2 linked regions of the Coturnix japonica genome follow. The protein of the gene in region 2 interacts with the protein of the main gene of each other region in a pairwise test. Links are inferred from orthologs where the notes say so. Each region holds a gene or a part of one and is shown on either strand. Other genes may lie near its edges.

Region 1 (10,479 bases), on a different chromosome or scaffold from region 2:
GGACAGCCCTGCTCAGGATGAGGCACCCTGCCACATCTATTCCCTGGAACTAGGAGCTCTTACATCAACTCCCTCAGCTAAAGCAGAAGCAACCCTGCTGCAAACAAAACAGTGCCGGTAGCAGCTCAACCACCATCAGATCTTCCATAGGTTATAGACACCGATGGGCAGATCCTCACCTTGTTTTCAGCCACAGGAGGAGCCACACACACAAACGACATCAGCCAGCAGAGGCACACGCTGGTCTGCACAGCCCACCAGGCCACGGTGTCCCTCTGTGCTGGCCACAAATGGGCATGGGACCGTTACAAGACAAAAGCCACTGCAAAATGATTTCTTCACACAGCACCTTTACTCTGCACAGAACATCAGATATGTAACATGGGCAGTTCCAAGATACCAAACAATGTATTTTTTGTACTCCAGAACTTCACAGCTCCAGATTTTGTTCCATTAGCACACAGAAAACAACAAGCGAGAACAAAATCTGGTGCAGGCCCTGGTGGGGTTTTGTTTTTAGGTTTGTTCTTGTTTTTCAAAGATGTAAAGCTTTCAACTTCCACACCCACATTAACCATTTTGCTCATCTACGCAGCACAATTCATTTCTTTTAATCACTGAAATCTATGTCTAATGGGGATGGTGAGCCACACTCATTCTCAATGCTATCTGAAACCCTAGTGTAGATAGGCACATCCCCCACTCCATTCTTAACTAAATTAAAACCAAACCTCAAACTTAAATGATGAATACAAAACTTCAAAGCCTAGTGGTGATCTCTGCAATCCTAACACTACTAAACAAGTAGCCAAAAATACAAGCATCCGACTGTGTCAATGACGTCTGATTAAAAGGACAACTAGGCCAGAGCCTGGCTTGGACTGCGAAGCTGATTATTTCATCAGGTCACAAAATGAAGTGAAAACCATAGATCCAGTGCCAGCTCGAGAGAAATAAAACCCAAAGCTCAAGATCTGCTGCAGTATTGCTATTTCTAAGGTTTTCTTTATAGATATTACAAAGAGTGGATGTGCAGGCAGCCAGACCGCATCAGATGACTGATTTTACAGTGGGTGCAGTTCCTCCAGGAGGATGACCTGCTTCAACACTAAAGCCTTAATGCTAAAAATGAGATTTCTGTGTCTTAAAGCTGAAAGTGAAGACTCCGTTTAGTCCAAACACCCCGAGCAAACCCCATTGGCAGGGAGCACGTTTTAATAAACTAAAAGCATGCTATTCTGCCGTTCCCTCGCTTAAAGGGTGTTAAAGCTGGAATGCATGAACTGGATCATCAGTTATTCAGCAGCGCTGGTCGATAGGGGAATGGACAGCCTGTTCAAAGGAACGTTTTACCTCCAGCCATTATATGCTCGGTGCTGGAAAACATCTCACAGTGATGGTTTAAAAACGAAACCAGAACAACTAATAAGGGCTTGATTTTCAGCCTTCTCTGAAGTTGTAAAAACAACCCCCTCCCTCCAAAAAAAGAAATTAATTCCTACTCTTGTTAAATCTCTACTGTTCATGAGGGAGACTTCAGAATTAGTCTGATGCTGTGCTATGCAATGCTGAAATATAACTTCCTCCTACCCAGCAAAATAGATCCGGGAACTTGCATGGAAGGGGCTTGGGGTGGGTACATCCCAGCTCTGTTCTCTGGTAAACCTGCCAGCAAATCCACTTCCCAACTGATCTTATTATTAAAGTTTTCCTCATAAAGATGTAAAACCCATATTTTAAAAAATTACTTTTGTAAACCACTTAAAGCTGTTGGACAACCATGATGTCAAACAGATGTGACACCAAACTGCTGTAACACATTCTCCCTTACCAGTTTGAAAACCACCTTCTGTGTCTCATAATACAGAGGGATGCAACCCAGATACATCCTTGCATGTGTGGTCTTCTGACTTGTCAGCTGTCTCCCAGCAAAACCGTATGCCACTGTAAGGGGAGAACGTTTCACAAGCTGCACGCGCTTGATAGCAGCCTTGTAAAATGTTCTTTTAGAGATATCAGTAGAGGGCACTGACCTGCTGTATTTAGCACAAGAGTCGGTTTGACACTTCTGCTGGGTTTCCCCAGAAAACTCACACAGACAACGCAGCAAACCGAAATGGGATTTGTTTCCACTCTAAAGTAACACTCACAGATTAGTATCGTTTGCTCAGAGGTGTGCGAAGAAACCCCCTATCTTGAAGAACTGGACGTAGCCCCTTCTCAGATGAATCTCATATTGCATTGTTAATGGTTTTAGTCAACTTGACTTTGTGCAAAATACCTTTAAGTAGGTTCTGGCTAAACTCCAGAATACAAAAGGAAAATAAATAGTTGTCTGAGACTTTCTGAAAAGATAAATTGAATGCTGCATGCTGGAAGGAAAATTATGGACTTAATGCAGTTTATCTGCAAATAAAGTAAGCAGAACAGTAGTGTCTGAAATTTTAACAAGTGAGATGGCCTTGATAAAGATTTGTTTGCACAATGTTCCCAAAGTCTAGATCAAAACAACATTATTTTGCACATGGTAATGGTAGAGACTAGGAGCCTGAGATGCATTATTAAAAGGCAGTCTCTTGTAAACCTTCCTCAAAAGGAACGATAGCAGTTGAGTATGCAAGAGTTACTCATATCGTATTCATCAAGACAGCAATGCTCTATAAAAGACATACAGCGTATTTCCAGATTAAGAATTTTATATGATACTGATATCCTGAACACATTTCCACCCAGTCCAAGATTGAAGTCACATCCTTCTTCGCTGCTCTGTAGCTACTAGGTCTTTTGCTCTGCTGCTGTTCCTGTCTGCGAGGGAGCTTCTGGTTTCACAATCTGGTACGTAATAAGATATTCTGGATATGCCTAAAAGTCAAGAAAAAGAAACCATTTAACAGGAGGGGTACACTCAATAACTTCACATTTTGGATTTCAAACAACGACCAGGAAGGACAGAGCAAGAATCAGCTCTGTGTTCAAAGAGTGCAAGTGTTAGGATACAAAGCACATATTTTCTGCTCTGAGGATAATTAAGCAGAAGAACAAGCTACCGAGAGAGATTCTGAAACATCAATCTCTTTCAAGTCCTACCTGGTCAGAGCCCTCAGCAATCTGGTGTGCAAGCAAGGGTGAACGAGGGGTTGTTTTAGATGACTGCCCAATATTCTTTCCAACTTGAATTTATTTTGTAATCTCTGAATCATCCAGGGCAGTGAGCAAACCTCTCTTCTAGGCTAAGAACCTCCACTGAGTTACTCAGAATAAAAATCATCTCTTGAAGACTGCTGTGCTACTTCTGCTGCCATAAGGGGAGACAGGGACATTGCCACAGCTGGGAATCCACAGGTAAAAAGCTGAGAATACTCACAATCTATAAAGCCCCAGAAACGTATGCGTTCTTGTTACTGCAGTAATGTCAGTTAAACGCAGTGGGAGAAACAGCACATACTCAAACTACATCTCTTAAAAGGCTCTTCTCAGTGCTGCAGAAGAAGAATGAGGCCATTTTCCACATCGTAGATCAGAGAAACTCAGTGGAAAGGAGTAGCAATTCTTGCCTCAATACAGTTTACAGCTTACATTTAAGTGAAAAAAAGCTAAGACAGCACACCTGGAGTGGAAATAATTTATAGCCCTTCTGAAACTTCAAGCTCTGCTGGTCATCACTAGCCACCTACCTGTTCTCCTCTATAGATAACATATTCAGCATATGCAAGTCCATTCACACTTGGCCTGCCAATAACTGAATGGTGTCCTGGAGGGGCATGCGCCATCTTCATGGTACTAAACTGAAGAAAGGATTTTCCAAGGGTCACTCTACAGAAAAGCATTTGTCTGAAAAGAGAAACACCGTGTTAACATATCTGAGAGACATAAGCTTCCGGGATGATTTCAGACTTCTGTTTCTTACAATTAATTTCTCATAGGTTTTTGGAGAAACAGTTATAGAAACCAAGTCTAAGGCTGTGTCTAAAAATTCTTGCTTGACATTCAGAAAGGAAAACACATGCTTTGTTTAGCTGTTGCATGGAGGCTGGCTCTTGTTCATTTCCTATAAAGCTGATGTATGAAGCCGTATGAACACTCTGTGTGTTCCAACCAGCAGAGTGAGTGTCAAAGCATGAAAAGCACACCGATCTACTTCAGTACAAAACAAAGCTGTGATTAAGTCTTGCTCACTACCTCCAAAATTATGTGGTCTGTAGAATCAAACTGTACTGCTGATCACCACTTTGCAGCGCAGTTTCATTCTAAGATTACCTGGAGTTTAATTGCTTTTCTGCCTGACTCTCCATTTTCAAACTTGCCATTTTAAGTCTCTTTCCTGAGTCACCACTCACTTTGATTTATACTCACTTTGACCTTTCTGTGGGACTCACATTTATGTCCGCTTCTGTTCAGCCCCGACAAATGGAAAAGTGCATTTTCCCCACCGTGACCAAACTTAAGTGGCTATTCTTTCCCCACAATTCATCCTGTGCCAGGGTCATAAAAACCAGGACAGCTGGAGTTACCTACAGGGATCTCTGGTGGAGACATACCTATGGCAAACATAACAAGATCTATCTTTGTGAATTGGACATCCAGTGCCACCTCCAATCCCATACACATACTGATTGCTTTTGGAAGAGTTTTCAGCAAAGTAAATTCCAGCTCCAAACATTCCTCCTATATAAGCGTGTCTTTCATCAAAGCCTTTGTGAATGATTGCGTTCACAAACGGGGAGCCTAGAAAAGACAAAAGGTTGTGTTATCATGCAGTTGTTAAGACCTGTATTAATTCTGGGCTTTATGTCAAGAGGAGGTTTTTCTGCCTCAGATAGATCATTGAATACCACAGAGTGTGCTCAGTCAGCTGGAAGGGGGCGATACCCAGCAGGATGCAGTGATGTGTGGGATTTATCATTCTATACCAAGATCCCACGTGTGACTCAGATCTTACTCAGTTACAGATCTCATTAAGTGGCCTTCCCACCCCCTCCTCACATTTCAGCACAATTTATTTTGTCAGTGCACACTTTCTTCAGTAGTCAGTACTCTCCAACAAAGGGCAAATTTATCAGGGCAATCAAACCCTAAAGCCATTTCCTTCACAGGATTAGAGAAGGTGCTAGGGAAGGATTAATTTGAATTAGATAGTTGTCCTTTGCAGGCACTTCTGGATGCTTCTGGAGAACATCTTGCTTAAACTCATGGTGAGCTTTGATTCCTTTCCCTCATGATTGCAGGAAGTGCCATGGAAAAATGCTTTTCACTATGTGCTGCTCACCTCTTTCAGAGGATAACTTGTATTTCTCACAGCAGTGTATAGCTCTCCCAAAAGTTAGCATCAGTTTTAATGGCAATGACTGAGATACAGCATTTTGTAAACATATTTTGTATCTAGTGGAGCTTTACAGATTGCATAGAATACCTTCACCACCCCCACACCCATGCATTTTTAGCACAGAAAAACAATTACTGTACAGGATGGTGAAAACAGCCTCACTAACACTGCCTGTGGGTTCCTATTTGCTTCTGGTTTCCTTATTTATTTTTTTTAATACCAGTACATACAAATAGTTATCACTTTGTTACCATGAAATAACATGCGCTCATTGTGATGGTTATGATTCTCTTCAGAGACTTCCTTCTGCCTGTGACAGAATCTCTCCCGCAACTTCTTATTCACAACCTTCTGAATCTGCAATGGAACAACAAGCATTAAATATGCAACTCAAAATAAGTGAAATATGGTTTCAAAAAGGTTTGTAGAAATTCTACAGAGAAGCACAGCAAGACAAACGAATGGTAAAAAAAACAACTTCAAACAAAATTAACATGCCCCTTCTGAATATATCGTTGCACCAAGTCTACAGCATATGCTTCAAGATGTTCACATATATTGTGAACTATAGCTTAAGTTCTCAGGTTTAAGGCAGTCTTTCAGGCTTCAGCCCTCAGAGTAGGTAATACCATCAAGAACCATCAAGACTGTCTGAAACTCCTTCCCTCCCCTGCTTTGGCCGCTCTTGAACAGGCCTAGCTTTCTGAAGGTTTAGGTTTAATGTTCACTATGTGGTTGGTGGCAGTTCTGCCCATGGCAAGGAGTTGGAACTGGATGGGCTTTAAAGTCCTTCCCAACCCAAACCACTCCATGTCTTCTTTAGACTCCTTTAACAGCACAAGTGGACACTTCTTCCTCACTCCATATACCAAGCACACAATCAGTTTAATTTTAGTACTCTGTGCTTGCTTTAACTCTGTAATTGATTATCATACCAACAAAGAACTCTAAGTTTAAAAGGTTGATCTATTAAAATCAATTTTGTGTGCTTGCATAAGTACCAACTTATTTTACTACAAAGAACTACAAGGCTTTGAAACTTACCCTGATGACATTGTACCTGTTGAAGATCCCACCAGCATTTCCACCATCTCTATGCTCCCGGATTGTACTTTGCATCTACACATAAATGAACACAACTGAATGCTCAGCACATAAAACTTGTTAGCAAGGAAAAGTAATCATGCAGTATCTGTCTTAATACATCACAGACAGCAGTAGAATCTGGGATGAAAATTAACTAAAAGGTGCCAAAAAAACTAAATTTTAAATGGAGATGCATACTTTTATTCTGGCACCCAACACGCTATTGAGCTCTACAATGCTGTCTGAGAAGCTGAATGTTGCAATTCCTCAATCTTATAATAAAAACCTACAAAGGGAAGAGGATTGGCACCCGCTATCAAAATTAGACTATTGGAAGACCCGCTTTAGATTAGAAAAAAATTAAAAAGTAACTCACAAAAAGATCATTTTGAAGTAATAACAAACACATTTCTAATGACTACAGCCTGTATTTCTTAGTGACATGAAAATGCTTACACTAAGTTTTCTTATGGCATTAAAAGCTTCTAAGAATTTCAACAATTTAACCCATTTTCTTTATAACCACAGCACCAACATTTAGTAAAAACTAAAATAAGCATCCCAATTTAGTAAACAAGTGACTCTTTCTTTCAGACATGGCTGCACAAAAAATCTGCACAAACTCCAGTTTGTAGAGTTACTAATAAAAAATATTCCAGGATACTGGCAGCAATACTGAGTACCAGGGTTCTCTGTGCTACAAAGCAACATCCCTACACAAGCAACTGAACAAACAATGAAGTCTTTATTTCAAATGTAACTCTTCAGAAAGTTTCTGTCCTCTTAAGCTTTTCCTTTCAAAATGGTAACTGCTTGTAGTTGACTCAAATAAAAGAGCATGTGTGCGTGGGAGGTAAAATTACAGTCATCTCTGCTTATCCAAGAGTTGCTTTATCTAGGTTACAGATTAACTAAGCCACTGAGACAAGAGAAAACAAGCTGGTTCACATGCAGAAACAGCCTGAGCAAAGAGAATGCCTACAGACTTGTAAAGCCTTGATCTCCTAGTCTCCACACACAGCCTTTGCCTTTCTCAGGTGTGCCTTTCTCTGATAAGCTCTGTAAGCCCTAGCTATGAGATGACCTCCAGAACCCAACGCCAGCAAGACAAAATTAGGTCAGCATGGAGTGAGAAACAAAATCATGTGTTTAAAGAAAAAAAACTGGCAGGAAACAGCAAATAAAATAAAATATAATATATATTATATATATATCATCTTCAGTATAAACTGAAACTAATTAATGCCCTAAACTCCACATCAGATCTTTCCAATTCACCAATGCATGTTTTATCACTTTAGCATGTGTTGCAAGATTTAGCTCTAAGGATTAGGTGATGAGGGAAATGCACCACCACCAAACAAGCTAATTGCAATACCTCTTCTTCAACGGACTGATACTCCTTATCGTCAGGTGCAAGGTCAAGCAGAATAGTCCCCTGACTCACGCAGTGGAAAGTTAAATAAGGATTGGTACCTACAAAGGGAAGGGAATAAAGAAGTTTAAAAAAAAAAAAAATAAAAATCAACTGGAGAAAATAAAGCCAGCCTTGTTTTTATTAAACACTGCAATTTTTCTGCTTATATAACACCAGCAGGAAACACAACATAAACACAAGGTTTAAAAATAACCTTGAAACGATGAAGTACTTTCTTTGGCAGCAGGGTCTTCAGAGAGAGGAGAAAAACACTAGTGTCACAACTACATTTTATGGTTTGTGCTTTAAGAGAAGGACCCAAGTGGCATGGGACAGCAAAGAGCTCCATCAGGCCTTCACGCTTCAGGATACAGCTAGCCTATATGTAGGGCAAATCAACCCAAAAGCTCCCCCCTCCCTGGTCAAACAGAACCCCTGTAAATGGGCACAGCTTCCACAGGTTCCTGGGGTTATCCATTCTCTGGAAAGATGAGCAGTCACTCAGTCCTGTATCAACACAATATATTCCTTACCTGTCACAAGCCACCAAACCATCAGTGAGCATGTTTTCCAAACAATCACACTCTTTCAATTGCTGGTATCAATGCCTACGTTTACATCGTGTTCTGTGTTACTCAGACTAACAAGTAAAAACATCATATTTACCTTGCTGGCCTCCTAGAAGTCTCTCCACACCTTTTATCAATTTGTGCCGGTGGCCATAGGCATTAATCCCTATTTCTTTAAGCTCCTCATGTCCCATGTCTGCCAACACATCTAGGGTTATCTGGAAAGGTGAAAAACCGCAACAATCACCAGACAAATCACCAGTCAAAGATACATCAGTTCAGAAAATGGATTGTATTCGTGCTACAACCAAGAGAACACATATTTTGTTTTACCATATTCTTAACTACTGCCACCTGCTGGCATGCTCCTCCCTCACACAGGACCATGCCCAGCTGCTACAGCTTGGGCTGCTTAGAACTTCTCTCACAGCAATTAACAAGAGCTCATTCTTGTTACAATCATGTTTATTTCTGTAGGAGGAGGATGCACGGAGAAGCTGGGACAAGTCAAAGCATGGGAATATTTTTGAAGCATTCAGGGTCTCACCTTCTAGTGTTATTCAGAATTTTCATTGTGCAACCAAAAAGGTGTTTCACACTGGTATATAATAGTGTATGCATATCCACATGTGTGCTTGCACAGAGACGGAGCCAATGGGATGGCCAGGTTAAGTCAAGCTCAACTATCCCAACTATTTCCCACGCTCAAACTTTGGGAAATAATTAGCATTGTAAGGACAGGCATAACTAGTTACGTTATTCTAATATACAAATGCATCCACCATCACCTGACATGATTTTAGACATCAAGGTCACACAGATTATTGGTAGAAATAGAAAGATAATAAAAGGACAAACTATTTTCAAAGTCAAAGCAAGAGGAAAATATAGGTGCTAAATGAAATACGTATTTTTCATTGCTGCGAAGCAATTCTGTGCTGAGGTGTTTATGTGAAGTACAAAGATTTAATGTGATGGAAGTAACTGCATAAAGCCTACTTCCAATTTTACATTAAATTGGAACTGGAAGCTCAACAAATAATAGGAACCCACACAACTTGCTTAAAAGCCAGGTAGACTGTTAGCACAACTGGACTTACAGATATCAACACTGTCAACTACAAATTGAGTACCACAAATCCAAAGGAAAGCAATTCAAGCAAGGAATTACAGATACCCTGAACAACTGTGCAATTGAGCAGAAACAGCCCTAATGAGATTGCTGTGGAAAAGCCACTGAAGGGATTCACAGGATAACAGGAAACACAGACAACAGACAGCACCAGCACAGACCCAATATCAATATGAGATTAGAGCCAAGTAGAAAAAAAAGAACATGAAAGCAGTGGGATGATGAACTTATTTTTACTAGAAAGACAAACCTACAAGAGCAGTTTAGCAGTTTTGGAAATGATAAATCTGATTTAAATTGTTTAATCTTAGTAGCAGGGAAAGATCTTAAATACAGGTTAGAAGTTGAGGAAGTAAAAACTGGACAAAAGCAGCACAGCAAGAGGAAGGTGAGGAAAAATAATAAAATAAGAACAAAAACTGAGTAGAATACAAATTCATTTGGGGTTGGTTTGCTTCTTACTAGAAGCAGTTCCAAGTTAAAGAAATGAGCCTATGCTTATGTGTAAGAAGGGAAAAAAATATTATATAGCGTGGTAACTTTGGGGAGGGAGATACCTCTGTAACGTTTCGTGGAAGAATTTGGAGGCTTTTCTGTAAGTAACAAATTACATTTAAAATATTTACTTCCTGATCCATCACAAAAGACTAGCAGCAAAAGTATGAGAAAAAAACTATCATCAAATCCAGCCTCCCTGTACTTTTTACATCCACCAGTGTCCATCTTATTCACACAATCTTTTTAACTACTCAACTACATTTCTAGTTCAGCTTAGTGGTCAAACTGTAGGAATTCCTACGTCTAACTTAAGTGTTACACATAGCAGCACAGATGGTGAAAAGTTTATTCAAACATCAAGACTGCTACAGGAGAAGTGCAGGTGATGTTCCTGCATTTCCTAAATTTTACAATAGTCACTTATGTTCAAAAGTTAATTCAAAGTTCACGTGCA
Region 2 (10,479 bases):
TAAAGAGCGTCTCGATCTACAAAACCAAAGCCAAACTGCTCTCTGCAAACGTCTGGCTTGAATTTCAGACTCCCCCCCACCATGAATTTGCACGGGAACGTTACTGGTTATTGCTTCAGCCAGGCTGCTACAAAACGAGTTACAAAGTCTGTGACATGGGAGCACAGCTTACCAGCTGATGACTCGTCTGGCCTACAAAGGATTTACTCAATAAAAACTTCAGCCCTCGACATCAATTAGACTTCTTAGTGCAGTTTTAAATTCTTAGAGTAAACGCTTAAGATTTGGCATATATTATTGGCACAATGTTCTTCAAACACTTAGAAGTTCATATATAAATATTTATATTCCCATTAATCAGGACGGGTACAAGGAGGACTCAGCCAATCTGGGCAGCCTTTCTGCCTGCGCATATTCCCTCTTTGATTTTCATGCATTGAATGGAGAGCTGCTTCATCCGGTTATCCAGAGCCAGCCCCTCAGCAGAGCCGCTCCTGTTGCTGCTCCTATTCTTGCTCACTCTGTCGCTTGCTTTGTTCTCAGCCCCTTCCGCCCTGTCCCCTGCAAAGAAAAGATGAGGCTCAATATTAAACCCAGATATCAGAAGGTAACTGTGGGCCCTTCATGGACTGCCCTCCCCAAGGAAGCAGCAGCAGCTCAGCAGCCTGTCATACACCTAGGGGAGTTGAGAGGATTTTCCCCACTCCCTTTGTAAAGCTAAACAGCATTGGCCCAGGGTGTATCGAGCTGTTCGTACCTCTTTCAGCTTCACATTCAGGAGATGAAGCCCCACTGCATTCACTTCGGGGGCCAAGGACGGGGAAGATCACTCCAAACTCAGAGAGGGACACGGGGCTGGGCAGATCCAGGGTGCCAGGACGTGTCGTGGGGGGAAACTGAGTGGGCACCTCGCTGGGGCTTGTAGGCCCAGAGCTGAAGCTGGACACTGACTGAGTTTCTGAGTCTTCCTCGGATACAAAGCTGCTGCCGTTGTCATCCTCAAACACTTCAGAGGCCACTGCAATGTTTGAAGATACATTCTCATTAACAAACCTACCCCCTCGTCACCTTTCTGGGTAACAGTTCCTCAGTTCTGCGCCTCCTGTCCACTGGCTCCTGGCTGATGGTGTTTTATCAAACTCCAAAAGACAGAAACTAAGACTGAAAAGGGTCTTGGTGCAAGCTCCCCACATTGCAACACGTTTATTTTTCCCCATACAGCACTATATAAAGAACAGGAGGGAACAACTGATGCATTTTAATTCACCCCCCCGCCCCTTCAGGATATAATAAACTCCTGCAATAACCAGAAACATAACAAGTTAACTGGTCCCACAACAGCCACTGAAATTCAATCTGCACAATATACAGATTATCTTCATCTCAGCATTTCCTCTCTATTCCGCAGCCCATGAGATATTCCCAGGCAAAGAAATGCTCTGCACTCACTTGAGACAGTGTCCAGCTCTGGTTTGCTGGTAGACAAGTCTTCCACAGAGGTGTTGCTCCCTTCAGCACCCACACCGCATCCCCGGGGCCCCATGGCAGTGGACCGTCTCCTCTCATGAATCTCATCTGAGATCATCTCCAGGTTTTTCAAGGCAGTCTTATACTCTCCCTTCGCCAGGGAGAGTTTTGCCTGCAGGTCATCCACTGTTTTCTTCAGTTGCTAACAAGAAAGACAGATGTTAGAGGTACTTTGACTACAAACAACACGGACACACAGCATGCGGTTCATTATGTTCCCCCCTAGCAGGTCCTGCTAAGCTGTCACCCCACCAAAGCCATGGCTGATGGCACAGAACAACACAGCCCACACCCTCCAGCACTATCCCCTGTACCGAGCTCAGGGGCAACCAGCTCCCCATTTCTTCCCTCTATTGTAGTGTATTGACACTTCAGACTACAAGAAGCACAGACAGACAAACTGTATCAGCTCGGTCCTCAAAATGAGGAGCAGGGTTCAAACAGGGGTGTGAACTTACTGCACACAAGGAAACACGGCCTCTTATCTTTAAAGTGTGCTTAGCAAATTGCTCATGATAAGAGGGTTGGAACAAAATTGGCTTTGTACAGTCCACAGTTACTCCGATAGCATGTCCCATGTAATTTCAGTATTTACCACAAGCAGTAAAGAGTCTCAGGGCAATGTGAACTCTGCACTTACCTCTAGCTGGACGTAGTACTTTGCCTTGAGTTCAAAATAAGGTCTGTGGAAAAAACAAACAACTGTTTACAGCCATCAGGACTAAATGCAGAGCGCTGGAGCGGACATTGCTCTCTCAATAGCATTAACAAAGCTACTTTGTGTCTCAGCGTAATCCTGAGAGACCTCTGTAGAGATGACAGAACACCTACAGGCGCTCTCCTCTACTCTTTTTTCTCCTCTAACCCATTTATTTCTCCTGGGTCTTTTGACCTAAATACAAATTGCAACATTCCAGTTGTTGGAGCTGATGATACAACTCCCTCAGGCCTAGATTCTGCAAGATATTGAAATGATGTTCAGCCTACCGCACAGGCATCCTCTCAGCAACCAAGAACAGTTTCCTTCTGCAGCTGCATTTTGTACAAGAACAAGCAGCCTTATGTACATCTCTAGCTTGCAAGCAAGGGCCCAGAAACAAAATTTAAAGCAAAACCAATGCAAAACAATCCTGTAATCATCCAGTCATCAGTCTCACAAGGCGAATCATCCGAACAACTTTCCTTTAGGTCATCCCAGTCTTACTTCAGAACAGTAATGCTTTAAGCATCTTAATCCAGCCTGAAGCATGCAGCAAACACAAATCACTGTTTGCAGGGAAAGCAGCAACACTTCCAGCACATCTGCCAACCCTGGGGGTTTGAGGGGAGGACTCTGGACAACGTGGTCCTGCAATGCCCCAGAGACCACGCTCAAAGACAGTAGATTTAGGATAGATATAAGGAAAAAGCCTGACACAGTGAGGTTGGTGAGACAATGGCATAGGTTGCCTTGTGATGTGGTTAATCCACATCCCAGGAGACTTTTGAGATGAGGCTGGATCAGGCCCTGGACACCCTGATCTAGCTGTGGTGCCCCTGCTCATGGCAGGGGAGTTGGACTAGATGGCCTTCAGAGGTCCATTTCAACCCTAAGGATTCTAAGATCATATGAATCTATCATTCAACAAGATGACTGTGTTTTTGCTCAGGCTCTGAGCAGTGCCAGACAAACAGCACAGCTCATTCTACAAAGCCATGCTGCCACACTGTTATAGCAAACATGCCTGCATCTTCCTTGAGAAGTGCTAAACTTTTCCCAAACTGAGCAAACGCCAATCAAAACAGGCTTTTAGTTGACCAATTTCCCGATCAAATCATTTTTAGATGGTGGGATTAAAAGCTAAACACAGCAAGCAGATTGTTTAGGCAAGCTACAGTCTGGAAATATAAGGAAAGGCTGTGGAATAGAAAGAAGATTAAGAACTGGTTGTCAACAGGGCCAACATTTTAAACAGGTTCTGAGAAAAAGCTGCTCTGTTTCTCTGCAACTGAGCAGAACTGCTCATCAAATGCACACACGTTTCTCAGTGAAGCTGCTCAGCTGTGCTCCCCGAAGCATTTCTTTCCCCATGAACAGCTCTTGCACAGCTTTGCTAAGGCAGCGTTAGGAAGTAAACAAGTCTGATGTACAGCACGCTGCCCTGATGCAGTCTCACACCTTCCACGTTTCTGTCATTTGCTTTGCAGTCTTCCCAACTAAACATAAGAATTTCACAGAGATGCTGCCTATGGAGCTGCAAAGCTTTGCTGTGGTGGTTTTGCAGCTTCAGGGTTTTGTTTTGTTGTGTTTTTTCTTCTGTTTAATCCCATATGCCTCGTTCTCAAGTCACTCATTACGGAAGATTTCAGTGCACTAAAACACAACTAAGAATACACCCAGGAAACTTCTCTAGTACAATTTGTGCTGCAAAGGACAACATCTTTTCACAGGTTTCCAAAATCCCACAGAATCCCCTGTCCCATGAACAGACTTGACCACTAAACTCATCTCCAAGTGTGAAACCTACTTTGATTTATTGATGGCTCTTTTCAGCTTCTTTTCCAGCTGCTTCATCCTCCCCATGGCAGCATTGTATTTGGCTGCGGTCTCCTTGTGAACCAACTCACTTCTTGTCTTGGTTTGTTCTGCCTCCATGACCTGTAAGAAGGAAAACAGAGGTTGAGGGGCAAGACCCAAGCATCCATTTCTTACCATTTTTATTAACATTATATCTACAATCTCTCAAATTAGGAAGGGGCTGAAGATGAACCAGAGGGATAAGAAGACAGCATGCAGTTCAGCCTGTCCCCTCTATCTGAAGCACCAGCTACCAGAAAGCAGCCCATCCAATGAGACAGCCTTTGTCATAGAATCCATGAAGGCTGGAAAGACCACTCAGATCATCTAGTCCAGCCATCAACCCATCACCACCATACCACACTATTCAGTGTTATATCTATCCTTTCCTTGAGCACCTATAGGGGCAGTGACTCCACCAGCTCCCCTATAGCCTGTTTTGCAGAAGACAAGGAAGCTGCCTTTCCTCTTGAAAGAGACAGCCAGCCTCAAATCGTGACTTCAACATCAAAAAAGCTTTGGGCCATGAACTGGTCCACTACAATGCAGGTGGGGAGCATTATGCTGAAGATCAGCCCCTAACCAGGGCAGGCAGATGCCTAAGGCACAGCAGTCCCATTGGCTGCCCTGCCAGCATCCTACAGTCATGTTTTCCCAGTAATTCTGTCTACGGTACTTTCATTTTGCAGATTTGAGCTGCCTGAGGCACCAGAAAATCTGTTTTCTCTAATGCACTGGCAGACAGGATTTAGCAAGAGACAGAACTGATTTGTTTAAAGGAATAGAAGTGGTGACACCTCTCCATTGGTCTGACAGTAAGCAGAAAGCAGGCGGTCTTCAGGCATCCCTTGTTTCAACCCTGAAAGTATTCACAGAAAAATGCCATGGGCCAAATCTGCACTACATCCCCATCAGCTGGAAGGTCGGCTGCCAAACTGGAGGCCACAGTTACTCCTCTGCACTCACCACTTGTTATTACACCAAAGTTGCTATCTGTGAACTAAAAGATCTGATTACACATATACTACGACAACCTTCAACTGCTTCACATGTGAATAAGGCATCCACATTTGAAGTTTAAAAAATAAGAAAGAAATCTGATTGATAGCAGACATTCCCCTGAATCCCAGAAACAAGTTATAGCCTCTCATCTTGAAGTCTCAGAAAGCAAGGTTGATGCAAAGACCTTCCCTGGTGAAATATGCCAGCCAAGGCTGGTTTTAGCATGGAACTGACATAAATTAGAATGCGGTCTCCAAGGACTGCACAAAACCTGGTTTGCTCCTTTGTAGTGTGGCAAGGCAACCGCAATTTACAAATGCTGCAAGCTACAGAATAATAGAGCAACTGAAACGTGCTGATTCTTAATTAAATGCCAATCCTTGCCATCCATTCTTGGGGTGAAATCAGCATGGGATCAACCACTTCAGCACTATCAGCACCATGGTCTTCTAACAGGTGAGGTGTTCTGCCTCTCGTGGACTTCACACATCTTTCACATCAAACACCATAAAAATGCTTCATCCTGCAAGACAGATTTGGGGATGACAGATTGTAAACACCTCAAACTATGTGACAAAATACGGAATTTGCAGCCAGATATCTACGCCCACATTTGTTACCCTTTTTGGAAGGGAAAAAAAAGCTGCATACTTCATCTCCCTGGGAAATCAGCATTGGGAGGCAAGCTTCTCCTCCTGCTGTGTGGCTCTTATACGGTCATGCTACCAGCCTGCTCACATTACCCAAGTGCTCTGCCCAAGGGAGTACAGCTCACAGTGTGTTCGCTAGGCTGAAGACATGGACGTGATCCTACAGCACCTGGAAGGCTGTTCCACATCAGTATCACCACAGAGAGCTGCCTCCTGTCAGGATGTATTTAAACCTTTCACCCAGTCAAGAAGAAACAAAAAGGTCATCTGCTTCTTCACGGAAGCAGAACAGCGCCTTAACATAGAATCTGTCTGCCAGGACATGTGGATAGAAACAGCCTAGGTTCTACTCTAGGCAAGTCAGTGAAAACCCTCAGCTTTTAAAAAGGTCTTAGTAGAGGACAGATGAAGTTTGTGTGGGGGAAAAGCATCAAACAAGTTTTTGGTCACACCATCTGAATACGCTTCTTTCTAATGTAAGACAGTGCTTCTACCGACAAACCTTGCCAAGGCCATCACAGATGCAAGATCATCTCCTTCAAAAAGCCAGAGACAAGAGTGAAGATGACACCTGCTCATAGGTATCAATCACTTCCTCTTTCCTCATCTACCCTCTGTTTCCAACCCAGATGCCATGGAAAGGAGGGTCAGTACAAAATATATATATCTAGCAAATAGGTCTGCGCAAGTGGCTTTGTCCCTCTCAGCCAAGAAATCTTCATCAGCTGAGGTCAAAGATGGACTTCAGGCAAATTTCAGCAATAGCAGCTGCAAAAGAAACATTTGCCAGTGAGATTTAACAAACCTGATCATCTGAGCCAGAGAATTACTCTGGACATCTGTTTCTTTCTCTAAAAAATTAAATGGGCGACTCTTCTAGAAGAAGAAATAAAAGAGGTAAGACAGATAACGCAACACCAGGAAACCAGAAGGGCAGAATCAATAACACAAGGGATAAAGATAGTAGAGGGAAGAATGTAAACACTGTTTGACTTCCATGGTGAAAAGATGGAGAGATAAGAACAGAGAAAGTTGTGGGTATCCCTGTTGCTTATTCCACAGCTTCCTTCCCCCCTTTTTCTCCAAGTGGTTCTACCTGCAGGAAGTCTCTTTTCTCTCCACATCATGAAAGCTCCCACGCATTTTACACCAACAGATGGTACTTCATGGTGTAATAGCAAAAGGAGCTTTGCAAGCCAAATTAAAGCAAGAGGGAGCAAGCCTTCTCCCTCCTTCCTTCCCCCCCACCCTTTCCTTTTTAAAACGTCTAGTGATCAAGAGCCAAAACATGTCTTCTCCCTGCCAGAATTTTTCAATGGAACATACCTCACAAAAGACTGCAGATTGCTCTGGCAATTAGAAATCAGCAAGATCTCACGCAGGATCTTCTTTTCTGCTCCAGTTAGTCTCAAACTTCAGGTAATATTCTGTCAGCTCTTTTCTTTTGGATGCATTTATATCCAAGAATGACCTTTACATAATTATAAATGCAAAGATCTCTGCCCCTCATCCCTCCTTTCACTGGCCACCTGTGCCACCAACTCCAGGTACCGACAGACAGGGAAGACTCCCACACCCAAAACCCAAATACCGACTGACAACCTGTACTCCCGGTACCTACTCATGCTGGTTGTCTGCTCTGCATATAGACACATCTCCCACATGTTATGCTTCTGACCCATCCAGGAGATGAAGATCTTCACCAACACTTGCATTTCTAAACAGTTACACAGATGATTTCTCTATTTCAGTGGCTACAAAAGGCTTGTTGACATTATCCTGTTATACCAGTAGCGCTTATTTTCAATGTGACAGTATCTTTTCAAACCATGGAGAAATCAAAAGGCAGTTACACTGTGCAGCCCTCAGCTCCATTTCTTTTCAACCAAGATCTGCAAACAGCATTTCCTAATAGGTACTTTGCAGTTCAAGTCTTCATTCGCATCCATTAGGTTAAGTGGAAAAGCAACCAGGATTTATTTCCATACAAGATTATACAAATAAAGATGTGTCTGATTTGTCCTCTTGCCTATCCCTTTTCCTTATGTTCTCTGCACTGTCTGTCAGCTACCAAGCTGCTTTAGGGCTCGGATTTGTTCCAAATTTTGAATTAATTCAATAGAGTCTGCTACTGCTGCCTAGGAAGGGCAAATAAAAACACTCCGCTCTTGCCTCTCGTTTCTACCAATATAGAAACAAATGAATTAGTAACTCACTTCTGACATTTGGCCCAGAGATGCTGTTTGGCACTTGATTCATTGCTGTACAAGGCACAGTGCAAGATTATGCTCTGTCCAATAGATGTAATTTACAGTTATAGGCAAAAAAAATAAAGGAAAAAAAAAAAGCTAATCCAAAAAAGAGCAGCCCAACGGCTGCAAAAAGCTTCTCCAAGAGTGACTTTCCACATGGAAACAGAGTGCTGGTTGACTGATGGTAGTTTGTGTACCTCAATGAACCCTAAGAACCTCACTAATTGCATGCACTGAAATGAAGAACATATTCACTCGGCTTTTAAAGAAGACTGAAACGCAGACAGTATTCCAAACAAACCACTGCCAGGCTTTTCCAGTCAAGACATTTTTGTTTATTGTTGTTGTTTTCTTTACCCTTGTTGGCTCTGGCTCTATCCTCAACATCGCTAAAAGGGTTAATGAAAATCAGGAGGAAAACTTCCATGTACTTCTTTCCAAACATGCAGTATCCTGGAAAGGCAAAGATATGTGCTTTCTGGGATCTGAGTTTACCCAGACTATTTTCAGTACCATAAAGAGTAGGGTAACACACTGCCTATCCAGTAAGTCCTCAGCTGCTCTACACAGATCAATCTGTGCCTAGGAGATTTTACATCAGAGCAAACACAAGGCTCCTATGTTCTGTTCAGCTGCAACCATCAGAGAAGTCACTGTTTCAGTCAGTCCTCAGACCGGACAAGGAGACCTCTTGCATTCAGTGACAGTACATGCAAACACCATCAGCTCCACCAAACACTGTGAGAAGTCCTCTTCTGCTCTAAGTCACCAAGTCTGGAAATCTCAGGCATGCTCGTCTTGGCTGCAGGATGTCTGAGAACAATTAAGGGCTGCAGAAGGACACAGGAATTCCTTAAGGATATCCAAGGAAAGGAGGAATCCATTTAAACCCTGAAAATTGCCAGCATTTCTTCTCTCCTGCCTGCTAGAGGGAGCCAGCTGATTGGCTGCTCTCAATCATCTCAGCAACTCCTTAGAGAAACTCTAAGCAACTCCTTAGGAGCTTCTATTTCTTCCTCATCTATCTACTCTGAGGATAAAAAAAAAAAATAGCGTATGCATTTCTGGACCTCACTCACATGAAACAGGGATAACAGCCAAGGAAAAAACAACAGCTGTTGGTGTCTTGGCAAACACACTGCAAAGCTGGGTTCAGAAACGCAGAGGTTACCAGATCTGCAAATACTTAATGACAGGGACAGTAACACCAACTACTCCCCAGCGGATTTCTGTGCGTTTTTTAATTATTCATGTTTTAGTTTATACCGGGTTTTCCATCTCTCCCCAACACAGCCAACATCCTTTTTGTTCTCTGTTTCGTCATCTGGCAGCTGGTTTCAGAATTCAGTCTGAAATAGAGGTTTTCTTATAACCAAGAAGCTTCTGCAACAGAACAAAGCTACTGCATTGAAGACTGCAAGACAACGCCAGCATTGTACGACACGCTCCCCACGCTTGGAATAGCAAGTTCAGCTTCACTGACATATCAGGGGAACTCTGACAGAACAAAGGATTTCAACTTAGATTTTGGGTTTTTTCATGTTAAAAAGAAAGAGAAGAAAACCACAACACCTTTCTGCATATTTAACAGGTAAGGAAAAAGAGAGAAGGCAAATGACAGGAAAATTCTTGACAGCTGCTAAAAATGAATACTGCCTTTCACTGTTGCTGCATCTTCTCTGTAGACTTAAAAAGACCTTACCAGGAAGGTAAGATCCTTTCTAAATTTGAAAGTAAATTTATAACAGAAGTGTGCAAGCTTAAAATGCAACACACGCTTAGTAATTCCACATGCAGATACACTCCAGACAAAAATGCCTTGCTGAAACTAACGTCGTGCTGAAAATAGGTGACACTACATTGGAACACATCCCTGGTACTCCATGGTCAGTTTCAGCAACACATACACTTAGGAATAGCCATCCCCATGCAATTAAGCCATCCCAATGCAATTATTTTTGCATGGCTTTAAATGCAAATATTCCCAGGGATGCTGTTCACCCCTGTTAAACTAATGGTGATTTTTTATTATTATTCTTTTTTTAAGCAAGAGCCACTCCCCTACCTACTAGCAAAGTCAGATAGAAAGCTATAGTTTGTGCCAGTAGGAGCCCATGGCCCAAATCATTTAACCTCAGGCTTGATAATTTTCTGTAGATTCATTTCCTACAGGTCATATGTCTGGACCGATATAAAAAAAAATGTGCTTCACAAACTTGCATCACATCTCAAAGAAGAAAACTGAACACGGAAAAGCATCCCGGTGTTTCTATTACCCTCTGCGTAGCATGGTTGAGCATCTCTTGCCAGGCAGAGTCAAACTGACGTTTGTCATCCTCTAGAAGCCTCTGCTCAGCAAGTGAAATAGTCTCCTTTGCGGCACGCAGCACTTCAGTCGCCCTCTGAAAATCCTGAGTCGCTCTCTGGGCTTCCAGCTGTGCCTAAAAATGGAAATATAAGGATTAGAGACAAAGGATCTACCAGGTTAATT

Evidence for each region.
Region 1: the proteins of SH3BP5 (region 2) and TNKS interact in a two-hybrid assay, tested with the Homo sapiens proteins (2 studies listed by BioGRID and IntAct). The link is inferred for Coturnix japonica from reciprocal best matches to the Homo sapiens genes SH3BP5 and TNKS.

Annotation. Positions count from the first base shown.
Region 1 is NC_029519.1:44,036,983-44,047,461, forward strand, and holds part of TNKS (poly [ADP-ribose] polymerase tankyrase-1), read right to left. Parts: intron 10,121-10,479; coding exon of another isoform or gene 9,989-10,120; exon of another isoform or gene 9,974-9,988; intron 8,614-9,973; coding exon 8,493-8,613; intron 7,886-8,492; coding exon 7,788-7,885; intron 6,443-7,787; coding exon 6,368-6,442; intron 5,681-6,367; coding exon 5,575-5,680; intron 4,726-5,574; coding exon 4,539-4,725; intron 3,832-4,538; coding exon 3,675-3,831; intron 2,863-3,674; coding exon 2,776-2,862; 3' UTR 1-2,775.
Region 2 is NC_029517.1:38,179,427-38,189,905, reverse strand, and holds part of SH3BP5 (SH3 domain-binding protein 5), read right to left. Parts: intron 10,430-10,479; coding exon 10,265-10,429; intron 4,166-10,264; coding exon 4,035-4,165; intron 2,211-4,034; coding exon 2,168-2,210; intron 1,670-2,167; coding exon 1,450-1,669; intron 1,019-1,449; coding exon 758-1,018; intron 562-757; coding exon 380-561; 3' UTR 1-379. UniProt on the Homo sapiens protein: Functions as a guanine nucleotide exchange factor (GEF) with specificity for RAB11A and RAB25. Inhibits the auto- and transphosphorylation activity of BTK. Plays a negative regulatory role in BTK-related cytoplasmic signaling in B-cells.